Linked DNA regions of Mus musculus. The protein of the gene in region 2 purifies or fractionates together with the protein of the main gene of each other region. This does not show direct contact. Links are inferred from orthologs where the notes say so. Each region holds a gene or a part of one and is shown on either strand. Other genes may lie near its edges.

What was found. The genes of interacting proteins can lie anywhere in the genome.
Region 1: the proteins of Cct2 (region 2) and Tle2 purify together in Homo sapiens (affinity purification with mass spectrometry; 3 studies listed by BioGRID and IntAct, with this or other methods). This does not show direct contact. The link is inferred for Mus musculus from reciprocal best matches to the Homo sapiens genes CCT2 and TLE2.
Region 3: the proteins of Cct2 (region 2) and Gnb1 purify together in Homo sapiens (co-immunoprecipitation; 3 studies listed by BioGRID and IntAct, with this or other methods). This does not show direct contact. The link is inferred for Mus musculus from reciprocal best matches to the Homo sapiens genes CCT2 and GNB1.

What each region holds. Positions count from the first base shown.
Region 1 is NC_000076.6:81,574,404-81,578,096, reverse strand, and holds the start of Tle2 (transducin-like enhancer protein 2), read right to left. Parts: upstream 2,811-3,693; 5' UTR 2,430-2,810; coding exon 2,406-2,429; intron 2,293-2,405; coding exon 2,195-2,292; intron 1,862-2,194; coding exon 1,798-1,861; intron 1,569-1,797; coding exon 1,455-1,568; intron 766-1,454; exon of another isoform or gene 627-765; coding exon of another isoform or gene 555-626; intron 469-554; coding exon 406-468; intron 1-405.
Region 2 is NC_000076.6:117,053,751-117,057,396, reverse strand, and holds part of Cct2 (T-complex protein 1 subunit beta), read left to right. Parts: intron 1-119; coding exon 120-223; intron 224-1,237; coding exon 1,238-1,357; intron 1,358-2,161; coding exon 2,162-2,290; intron 2,291-2,416; coding exon 2,417-2,520; intron 2,521-3,257; coding exon 3,258-3,357; intron 3,358-3,646. UniProt on the Homo sapiens protein: Component of the chaperonin-containing T-complex (TRiC), a molecular chaperone complex that assists the folding of actin, tubulin and other proteins upon ATP hydrolysis.
Region 3 is NC_000070.6:155,489,994-155,493,739, reverse strand, and holds the start of Gnb1 (guanine nucleotide-binding protein G(I)/G(S)/G(T) subunit beta-1), read right to left. Parts: upstream 2,380-3,746; 5' UTR 2,160-2,379; intron 1-2,159. UniProt on the Homo sapiens protein: Guanine nucleotide-binding proteins (G proteins) are involved as a modulator or transducer in various transmembrane signaling systems.

The DNA.
Region 1 (3,693 bases), about 35 Mb from region 2:
AATTATGGGTTGGCTCAGTGGCTAAGAGCTCTGGCTGCTCTCTCAAGGGACCAGGGTTCGATTCCTGGCACCCACATGATGGCTCACAACCCATCTGTAACTCCAATTTCAGAGGACACAGCGTCCTCCTCTGGTCTCTGAGGGTACTGCACACATATGGTGCACAGATATGTGGACAAAACACCCATACATATAAAATTAAATAAATGCATTAAAGTGTAATAAAAGCAATCAAAGGAGAATGGCACCGTGGGAAGCGCACACACCAAGGCTGACCTCTCTCTGTCCTCATGATATGCACACTCATGGACATATGAAGGGCAGAATGCCCTTGGTCCTCACCCTCAGCCAGTGTCTAACCAGGCCCAGGACACCCTCCCTGCCTCCAAGACTCTGCACACTCACCTCCTGAGTGAGGAACGGGACCATCTGGGCACAGATCGCACTGAGGCGTTTCACAATCTCAGCCTGGTAGAGAAGCAACAAGCTGGGTGGCACTGGAGGGGGACAGTCACCTCCACCATCCAGCCCCCAGCACTAGAGGGGACAGTCACCTCCACCATCCAGCCGCCAGCACTGGAAGGGACAGTCACTTCCACCATCCAGCCCCCAGCTGGACTGAGCATTCGTGGAGCTGCCTGGCTAGGGAGTCCTGCAAGTCTGTGACACCTCCCCACCGCCCTATGAAGCCCTCAGAGATGCAAACATAGATGGACCGATGATGCCCAAGGCAGCACTGTGGTCATTCCCCGAGGCCCTAGAAACCTGTGTGAAAGAGTGTGTGTTTGTCTGGCATGACCCAGCTCTCTGCAGGTCTTTGGGGGGCTGTTCTGTGGTTGCCTCTGGTCGCCTACAAGGCCTGTGTCCTCCACCAGGCAAGGACCAGTAAGGACCAGCTCTCTGCTGCCCACATCAGCACCAAGTCCCACAGAAACCAGGGGAAGCAAATGGCAGGTGAGGCTCACTCAGCATCTACCTGCACAGAAAGGAGCCTAGGGTAGGGCTCCAGCATGGAATCATGAGTGTTCGGGGGCAAAACCTATAAATCCACTCATCAACAGATCTCTGAACCCTCAGGACCCCCTAGAGCCACTGGCCACTTTGGGGACTCAGGGTTAATTACAGACCTCAAAGTCAATCTCCACATAGAGTGTATCTCAGAACCCTAACACCATAGGCTGGAGTCTCAGAAGCCCATGGGATCAACCATGCAACTCCAAATGCTATCTCAGAAGCTCAAGCCCTCAGAACCTTCAGGGCTATCTCAGAACCTCCAGTCCTTGGAACTGTCAGTTATCTCAGAACTTTCAGGGCTATCTCAGATCCTTGAACCCTCAGAACCTTCAGGGCTATCTCAAATCTCAGATCCACTCAGAACCTTTGGGATGACCACCTGAAATGTGGATGAACTTAGTTAGACCCTCCCCGCAGACACCCGTACCCCACATGGTCACCTGTTTATGCATCTCAATGTTGAGTCCGTAGGACATCTCGTAGTACTGCAAAGGAGACAGTCTTGGCCAGTGTGGATAGCTGGTGCCACCCTGGGGACACTGATGGGGTGCAGCCTCGAGGGGGTGGTACGAGTATCAGGGCAAGACACAAACACCCTGAGCCCCATGGAGACCCAGACAGGGAACCCACAAGATGGATCACGGATGGGCTCAGAGAGATAGGACAATCAGGTAGTCCCCCAAATTGGAGGGGGGGGGAGACCCACAGAACAGTGCCTGGTATCCCAGCCTGCCCTTTTTAGGGAGAACACGGAAGTGGGCAGAATGGGCAGGTACTCCTTACCATCACATAATGCCTTTGCATTTCTGTCTTCTCGCTGGCCAGCTTCTCACATTCTAGCTTGAGGCTGGGCAGGAAGAATAGACAAAAATGGGGGTTGACTTGCCACACCCCACATGGGTCAGTTTCCACAGTGACAGGCAGAAGCTGCTGGCTCCCCATTCCTTTAGAAACTGTTCCCAGTCCTCTCGAGCCCAGATCTACTCCTGGGACCAAAACATTCTCAGGGAAGGCTTTCCCTGAATCCATTCATCTCACACTCTTCTGGGCACCACCTCCACCAGAAAGCCCTCCAGTAGGCCCAATGAGCCCCGCCCCTTGCCCTAGAAACCACGCCCCTCCAAGAGTCCCCGCTCACCCCCATGGGGCTTCCCAGGGCCCAGAACTAGGGCTCCCTCACCTGTGGTACTGAGCTTGAAGAAACTGGAATTCCTCTTTGATCCGGTCACAGATTTCCAGTACTGAGAACTTGAAAGGCTGGCCAGACTGCAGCGGGGTCTGAGGGGGAGAGTGGGAAAGGACACTAGGGTGAGTTCCAGGGCAACAGCAGGCAGGAGTCCCCTCCCTGGTCCCCACCTCCTGCAGCCAGAGATGGGAGTCTCCGTACTCACCGGGTGCCTTCCCTGAGGGTACATCCTGCTGATGGATGGGTGAGAGAATGGACCCCCCCAGCTTCTTGGAGGCTTGAGGATGTGGCAAAGGGACGCTGAGGTGCAGAGGTGGCGCTGGGGAGAGAATTGGGTGCGGGGAGGAGCAGGCAGTAGAATTTGGGGTGCTAAGCTAGAGCTGGGGTGCAAGGAGACTGAGCCTGGAAAAGCTAGGAGAGAAGCCGGAGCTGGGGGAGGGATTTTTACGCAAAGAAAGAGCAGCCAGGGAGAGCCTGTCGGGGCAGGGGACCAGGACCCCGCGCTGCGCCCCCCCTCCAGCCAGCGCGTCCGGGGTTGTACAACCCAGGGGCAGCTGCAGTCAGCGCCGCAGGTCTGTGGCCGCCGCCCGGGGTCGGCGCTGGTGGCCTCAGTGGCTGCGGAGCCGCCTCCCTCCGCGGGGCTCGGCTGGGAGCCGCGGGCGGGACCCGCCTTAAGGTGGCACCGCCGCCCCCGCCTGCTCTGCTTCTTCGGTTCCAAGACCCGCTGGGGAAACTGAGGCTTGGGTTCGATCCTAGTGTTCCCGCCCCACCCCCACTCAAAAAAAAAAAAAAAACCGGGGGGAGAGAAATTAGGCAAAAAAAAAAAAAAAATCTCTGTGCGCGCGCCTCTGGAGCCGTGGGGGCTGCAAGTGGCTTCTCTGGGACAGCGACACTATGCCCTTATGAAGGATAAACATCCCCAAGATCGAAAGAGAGAGAGATACACACCTGTCCCAGGAAGAGCAGACCCAGGCTATGCTTGTCAACCAATGCTGCCCCACTCTGGAGAGATCCAGGACAGAGCCCAGGGCAGCTTGGTCAGGCTCAGAGCCCACTACAGACTTGCATGCTAGTGCCACCACCAGCCAACTGGGTGGCCTCCTCTATCCAGATTGGGCTCCTAAAGGACCAGACTCTTTAAACTTAGTGCATAGAACTCTTGTGTATCTTGAACCGGAACACTAGAAAATCTTCTGCAGGGGCTTCACCACTGACCCCGCCCCCAGACCTTCACTGGGAGATTCTAGGCAGCAGCTCTACCTCTGACCACACCCCCAGCCCTTCACCGAGGGATTCTAGGCAGAAGTCACCCATGACCACGCCCCCAGCCCCTCACTAGGGATTAGAGACTCCACTCTTGACCACGCCCCCAGCCCCCTTTTACTTTTGGAGGCAAGGCCTTGCTAAGTTGCCCCTGCAAAGCTTGAGCTTGGAATTCTCAGTCCCTGTAGTAGCTGGGACAACAGGCCTCTGTGTGCCATCAGGCCACCTCC
Region 2 (3,646 bases):
TAGATAGTGAGGCTGGATTTTTTATTTCCGGTGAAGTAAAAGTGCTTGCAGGTTTGTGTTGTAATGTAATTCAGCTTGACAAGGAGCCATTTTGAGCATAACATGTATTTTATTTTCAGACAGTTAATTTATAATTACCCTGAACAACTCTTCGGCGCTGCTGGCGTCATGGCTATTGAGCATGCGGATTTCGCAGGTGTGGAGCGCCTCGCTCTTGTCACAGGTATGGAAAATGCATACCTTAGGAAGTGCAGTTTCCAGTACGTTACTGTGCAGTGCACTGAGAATAGGAAGAACCCCCTTAAAGAGTTGAGAGTATATACTTTGAGTTAGGCCTTTAATTTCCTTACATTGTTTGAAGACTTAGATTGATTGATTGATTGTGCATGTGGATATGTGCCCTGCTTCACCAGTGGAGATCGTAGCACTAATGTTTTCCTCTTCCTGTGTGGGTCCTGGGTCTCAGCTCAGGTTCGAACTACCTTGCTGGCTCCTCTATACCATTACAGGCAATTCTCTCTGTACTTGAGTTTCTCAGATTTTTGGGTGTGGAGTGTAGTGATTGACTGTGTATGATGAAATGACATAGGGTAGGACCCAAGTCTAAATATGAAATACATTTCTGTCAGATGTGTATACTCACGCAGAGAGATTGTCAGATGTGTATACTCACACAGAGAGGTCGTCAGATGTGTATACTCACACAGAAATGGTTTACGCAGCGCTTTTGGTTGATATGCAGTTTTACTGGCCTTTCACCTGGGCCATTTTCATTCTTACAGATGCACATTTGGGGTTTCCGTTTAGGAATGCTTAAAGTGTATGCCAGATTTTACGCGCACGCACACACATGTGTGCATGCACACACCACACGGTTTGCCATGACTCTAGAGTGATGTTTCAAGACAGTCCATTCTTTCTCACAGAATAAAGACTTTACTTTCTGGGCATGAGCAAATCTGAGCTTAAAAGAAGAGTCTCGAGTATTAAATCTTAAGTTAAACCTTAGTTTGTTTTGCTGAATGCTTAGCTCCTTATGCCCCGTGTGAGGTAAAGTCAGTGACCTTTAATGACGACATCGTGCCCTTCAGAGCGGGTCAAGTATGTACCTTGTGCTTGATTTGACATATCTTTTCTAAGTTTCTAATTTACAAAATTACGGTAAAACTATTTAAATGAGTGAATCAATTCTGTAACAGCCTCAAACCCACAGATGTGTTTCCGGTGATGTTCGCAGGTGGTGAGATTGCCTCTACCTTTGATCACCCAGAACTTGTGAAGCTTGGAAGTTGCAAACTTATTGAAGAAGTTATGATCGGGGAAGATAAACTCATTCACTTTTCTGGGGTTGCCCTTGGTGAGTGACTGTAAATCTTGGCTTAAGGACCTAAGTCCTTGCCGACCTCTGGAAGTGGGAAAAAAGTTGTAGGACTGGAGAGATGGCTCAGCGGTTAAGGACCTCTGGTTCTGAGTTCAAATCCCAGTGACCACAAGGTGGCTCACAACCATCTGTATGAGCTCTGATGCCCTCTTCTGGTATGAAGTCAGCGGCAGTGTACTCATACTACATAAAGTGAAACTTTTTTTTTTAAGGTTTCTATAGCACTGAAATAGATATCCTATAGATAGATACCCTATAGATAGATACCCTATAGATAGATATCCTATAGGTTGTCGAGATGGCTCTGAGTGGAAGTGCTTGAAACTTGAAGACCTTAGTTCCCTTTCTGGGACCCTCATGGTAGGAGGAGAGAGCCAACTCTCACCTTGGACTTCCATGCATATATGCACCCACGCACATACATGCATGACTAAGGATTATTAAGTGGACTGGATATATGTGTCTTATGAGGGCAAATATAAATTTTTTTTAATTAGGTATTTTCTTCATTTACAAATATAAATTTTGAGAGAGCCTATTTTATGTTCTGTTTCAGTGTCTTAAAGTCAGGTTGATACTTGCTGCCTTTTGAAATGTGTACATTTAGCATAGAATTTTTTTCTTCATCACTCAGAACATTTATGAACATGGATTTTTGCAGAGAAGCATTGCTACCAAAGCCCAAGACTAGTCGAGTCGTTACTTACTAAGTCGTTACTTGGAGTGCAGATGATGCTGTGGTGAGTGGCTAGACGGTCACTGATTGACGTTTCTCCTTAGGTGAGGCATGCACCATTGTGCTTCGTGGTGCCACTCAGCAAATTCTGGATGAAGCTGAACGATCTCTGCATGATGCTCTTTGTGTTCTTGCTCAGACTGTAAAAGATCCTAGAACAGTTTACGGGGGAGGTAAGCATTTCAAGAATGTTACATACTTTGTTTCTTGACAGTAGGTCCGACTTAGATGTGAACATCTTGGCTTTTATAGAAACAGAGACGGCAGAGTGCATAACAAGTTCTGGGTTACATTTGTAGGCTGCTCTGAGATGCTGATGGCCCATGCTGTGACACAGCTTGCCAACAGAACCCCAGGAAAAGAAGCTGTAGCAATGGAGTCGTTTGCAAAAGCCCTGAGAATGGTAAGCTATGAAGAGAGAGGTGAACATACATTTCATGGGCTTGATTTTAAACTGAATATATTTTTGTGTCCTAGAGAAAAATTTTTCTCTTTGCCTTTACAAAACTACAGTAGTCCACAATGTTTTATATTTTGATTCTACATTTTATACGTAATCATGAATCATTATTAAGAAACAAACAGCCAAGCAGGGTGTGGTGGCACACGCCTTTAATCCCAGCACTCGGGAGGCAGAGGCAGGTGGATTTCTGAGTTCGAGACCAGCCTGGTGGTCTACAGAGTGAGTTCCAGGACAGCCAGGGCTACACAGAGAAACCCTGTTTCGGAAAAAACAAACAAACAAACAAACCAGACAGCCAGGCATGGTCTTTACCTATAATCCCAGCACTTGAGGTTGAAGCCAGATGTGAGACCAGCCCTGTCTGTAAGAGCTTGTCTTTAAGAAGAGCAACAGGAAGCAGGCTTTCCCTGTAATTCAGCTGTCTCTCTAGGTTAGAGGCAGTGTGGTCCTTGGTGGTTATTCATCACTTTGTTTTTTTTTTTTTTAAGTATAGAATAGAGTTTATTCTGGGCATAGGGAGGGGAGTTAAGAGGGAGAGAAAAGTGGGGAGATGGAGAGAGTAGAGAAGTAGAGTCCAGCTATGACCACATGGAGGGAAGGGGAAGGGAATCGGTGGAGAGGGGGGAGCAAGGGGCAAGCGGCAAGAGTGAGAGTTGTTTGTCCCTTTCATGTTGCAGTTGCCGACCATCATAGCCGACAATGCGGGCTATGACAGTGCAGATCTGGTGGCACAGCTCCGAGCTGCTCACAGTGAAGGCCATATAACTGCTGGACTGGGTAAGAGACAAATGGACTTCTGCAGCCACTTTGGAAAGTAGTTTTCTTCAATTAGAAATAAGTCACACATACATCCACTTTGTATGTCTGTATGGACACGCACATAATGCACTGGGGTCCCACCCCCTTCCCTTTTTCTTTTCACACCTTTTCTCCTTCACTGAACCCTTTGTTCCCAGGTCCCTGTCCTGCTCACGCGGGCTATAGGCACCTTATCCAGGCTGTACCCTGAGGAATAAGATTCATCCTTCCCCAGTAGCCCTAGCAGCTTTTCCGTGAGGATGGGATC
Region 3 (3,746 bases), on a different chromosome or scaffold from region 2:
AAACCCAGGAGCCAGGCAGCAGGTATGAGCACACAGCCTCAGAAAACCTACTTTTGACTTTCAAGGCTCTCACCTTCTAAGAAAGACAGCACACTGTAGAAGTGAAATACGTGCAGTCAGAACCCTACACCTACAGTCTAGCCTCTCCCATGCAGACCAGGGCCTTCCCAGCTGCACTGCATTCCTGCACAGGTCTGTGAAAAAGGTCACTCTCCCTAGGTCCTATCTATCCAGAACCTAGCTCTGCTGTCTAGAGGCTCAAAGCCTCTTCACATTTCCATCCCTGGCCAAACACCCGGCGGAAGAAATTTTCCTTTTGCAATATACCTTCCAGAAGAATCCAGAAGACATCTTAGCATGAAAACTAAAAGCCTTATCTTCAAATATCTCCCACCACCAAAAACCACTACAGCTTCAGATGTAACAAAACAAAACAAAAACCCAAACAAACAAAAACTACATAGAAACTGACTAATGGTTTCTCTGAGGACCACATTTAGTCTCCACAGTGAAATGGAACTTTTCACAATATTAACACTTCCATTTATCATGATAGAATGACTACATATTTTCTTAGTTAACAGTAAATCTCACAGGCTACTTAACCACACACAGAGAAAGGCTTGATTGCTGCTATCAGATCGAAACATAACAATACAAAGTACTATTACTACCAAACCAACACTACAAATTACCTGAAATTTCAAAATTCATGCACAAGTGTCATTTATATACTTATAAATTCTACTAATTCGGGGCTGGAGAGATGGTTCAGGGGTTAAGAGCATCGGCTGATCTTCCAAAGGGTCTTGAGTTCTGTTCCCAGCACCCACAAGTCAGCTAATGACTCTAACTCCAGTTCCAGGGAATCTGACACCCTCACATACACACACAGACACAGACACATCCAGGCAAAACAGCAATGCACTAAACAATTAATTAATTAAATGAAGCCCCACTAATTCTCCTCTCAAAATAAAAATTTTGACATAACCTCTTTAAAGATGAGCTGAACACGTATAGGGATGCTATTTCGGGATGCTAATCCTGTGGTTTAAAAAAACCCGGAAAAAAAAAATGTTTAAATGTATCAAAAGGTCAAAAGCCAAGCTGCAGTTCCCCAGGGGAACCCGAGGCTGTGGAGGAGACGCGGAAAGACTAGGCCACCCTCTGAGTGCTCTGGGCAGGACGTCCCCTCCCAGCACTGATGCATCAGGCGAACCCAGGAGCCCGGCGCCTTTTCCTCTGCACCGGCCACCAGAGCCGGCCTTTGTTTTCAGCCCCGGCAGCGGACGGCGCGGTCCTGGCTGACAAAGGCGGGTATCGCCATCTTGTCGCGGCGACCGGACGCGGCGCCCATTCATTTACGGGTGCCTGGGGCCAGGAAGGCCGGCAGCGAAGGAAGCTGGGAAGCTTGGTAGCCGTAGGCCCGCACCCGGCAGGGGTTGATGGCCGAATCCAGTAGACTCGCCCCGTGTCCGCTCCCCGCGCGCCCGGCCGAGTCCCACGCCCCGCAGGAAGGCGCGGTCCGGAGGGCAGAGCTCGGCTTTTGTTCCCGCGGGGACTCGGCCGCGAGAAGAAGCGCCTGCGGCTCTCCTGGCATCCCCACCTTAGCAAGCCATCCAGGCTCGAACCTACGACCCGAGCCCCAGCCCTGCATCCCGTTCCCTTTCTTAAAACTCAAGACCACCTCCGGGATCCCGCATCAGGCCCTAGACCCCCCCGCCCCCCGCAACAGCCTCGACCCCAGGAACATGAATGAGTCTGGAAACCGAATTCCGACACGGGCTTTGAACCCAAGACCACAGATCAGGTCCCGCATCCGGGATCCAGCCTTGAACCCAGAACCCATCCCAGATCTGGCCTTGAACCCAGGACCTCCACCCAGGTTGCCGCATCTCCGGGCCCGCACCCCGGACGCGGCCTTGAGCCTAAGACCCCGGCCCGGGCCTGCGCCCCGGCCCAGGCGGCTCCGCCCCATCCCTCACCCCCCGGACCCCGAGACCCCAGCCCTGCCGCCCACCCGGCACGCCGGGGATCGCCCACCCAACCCTGAAGAGCAGGATGAAGACGGCGGCCGATGACCCACGAGCGAGAAGAGCCGCAGGGCCTGGCCCAGCGCGGGGCAGGCTCAGCTCACAGACCCCAGCCGCGCTCACCTCGCCCTCGCCCGGTCTGGCGCCCACGCCGCCGCCTGGTCGTCGCGCTCGCGGCCTGCGGGCAGGAGTCGGCGAGGCTGGTCGGGTCCGCGCGGCGGCTGTTCCAGTCCCAGCCCCGCTGCCCTCGCCGCCCGCGCCCGCCACCGCCGCCGCCGCCGCCGCCGTCGCCGTCCGCCCCTCAGACGCCTCCAGCCATCAGGATGGGCGCGGCGGCCCCTGCCCGCAGCCTCGGGAAACCCCACGTCGCGTCACCGCGCACGGGCGGCGTGCGCGTGCCGCTCTTTCCGCCCCGCCCCTCCTTCCCTCTGCGCGTGCGCGAGAGGCTTAAAGGACCCGTGATTTTTTTCCCCCACCCCACCCCACCACCACCCCACACACCCCGCAAGGGTCTTCCAGGGACGTTGGCAGCCTATCGGCCTCGGTGGCCTCTGGCTCTGACCTGACGGTGTCGGCTCCTGTGCCATGTGCCCCAAGCCAGAGGGCGGTGTGTCCTGCCTGAATGACCAGCCCGGGAGGGCCGAAAGGCGTGCGTGCGTGCGTGAACGGCCTAGCAGGTTCTAGACAGCGGGGGTAGAGGGGTAGGAATAGCCAGGTGGGACAGGAAAGATGTCAAGATTAACCACCAGAATCTTTAAGACATGCCATCCGGTCTGGTCCGTCGTGCCTATTTGTCCAGCCATCTTCAACTAATATGACTCCTGCCACAATGACTTTTTCACTCCCATTCTGCCCTTTCCAAAACCAGGTGAATACCTCTCTTATTTCCTCTTGGCCTGCACTACCCTCTTTTAAACAAGAGCCACAACTCTCTGGGGGGCCTGGCCACCACGCTGACTCTGAGACCTTTCCATGATTCACACTTGATACCTTCCCTTCTTGTTAGCTTCTGTGCACCTTGCAGCCTTTCCTTGAAGCCCATTCCTTCTTGAAACAGCCTTTGAGTGGTCTGCACACTTCCCCCTCCCTGCCCTGGGCGCTTCCTGCCGGGCCATAGAAATGTGTCTGTCATTGTTCAGTCCTGACAGTTTCCTCATATACTTTCCCTGTGCCAGCCCTGATCTGACGCCTGATTTTACGAGCCCTAGCTTCTGCTAGTGGATGGGTAGAAGTGAGGAACCAGGTATTGGATATTCATTGCTACAAAAGTGTCATTGCTGAGCAGGCACCCTGAGGGAAAACATACATTTACATGAACATACATATATGTACATGCAGATGGTCATGTGGGCATTCGTATCTTTTTCTTGATCACAGTAAGTGTGTGGTCTCTCCAAAATACTGCATATTCTCTTCCTTGCATATTGAGTGACCTGCTTTGAGAGTAAGAAGCCTGGTTCCAGTTACCTCAAATATATCCACCACTGCTATCATCTCACCCTAGGGCCTCTGACCCCTGGGACTCTATGCCCTTCACTCCATCTGTTCGAGACCTGACTCTGTCATTTGTGACTGTTTTTTACCTGAAGTTCTTGACAGCTCCATCATCCCACTCTCTCCAAGTAAAAGTACAGGGTCCTTCCTTCTCACCATTCTCTCCACTGTCCCTTGTGACTCCAACTTCCCACAAGTGCCTCTTCCATGAACTTG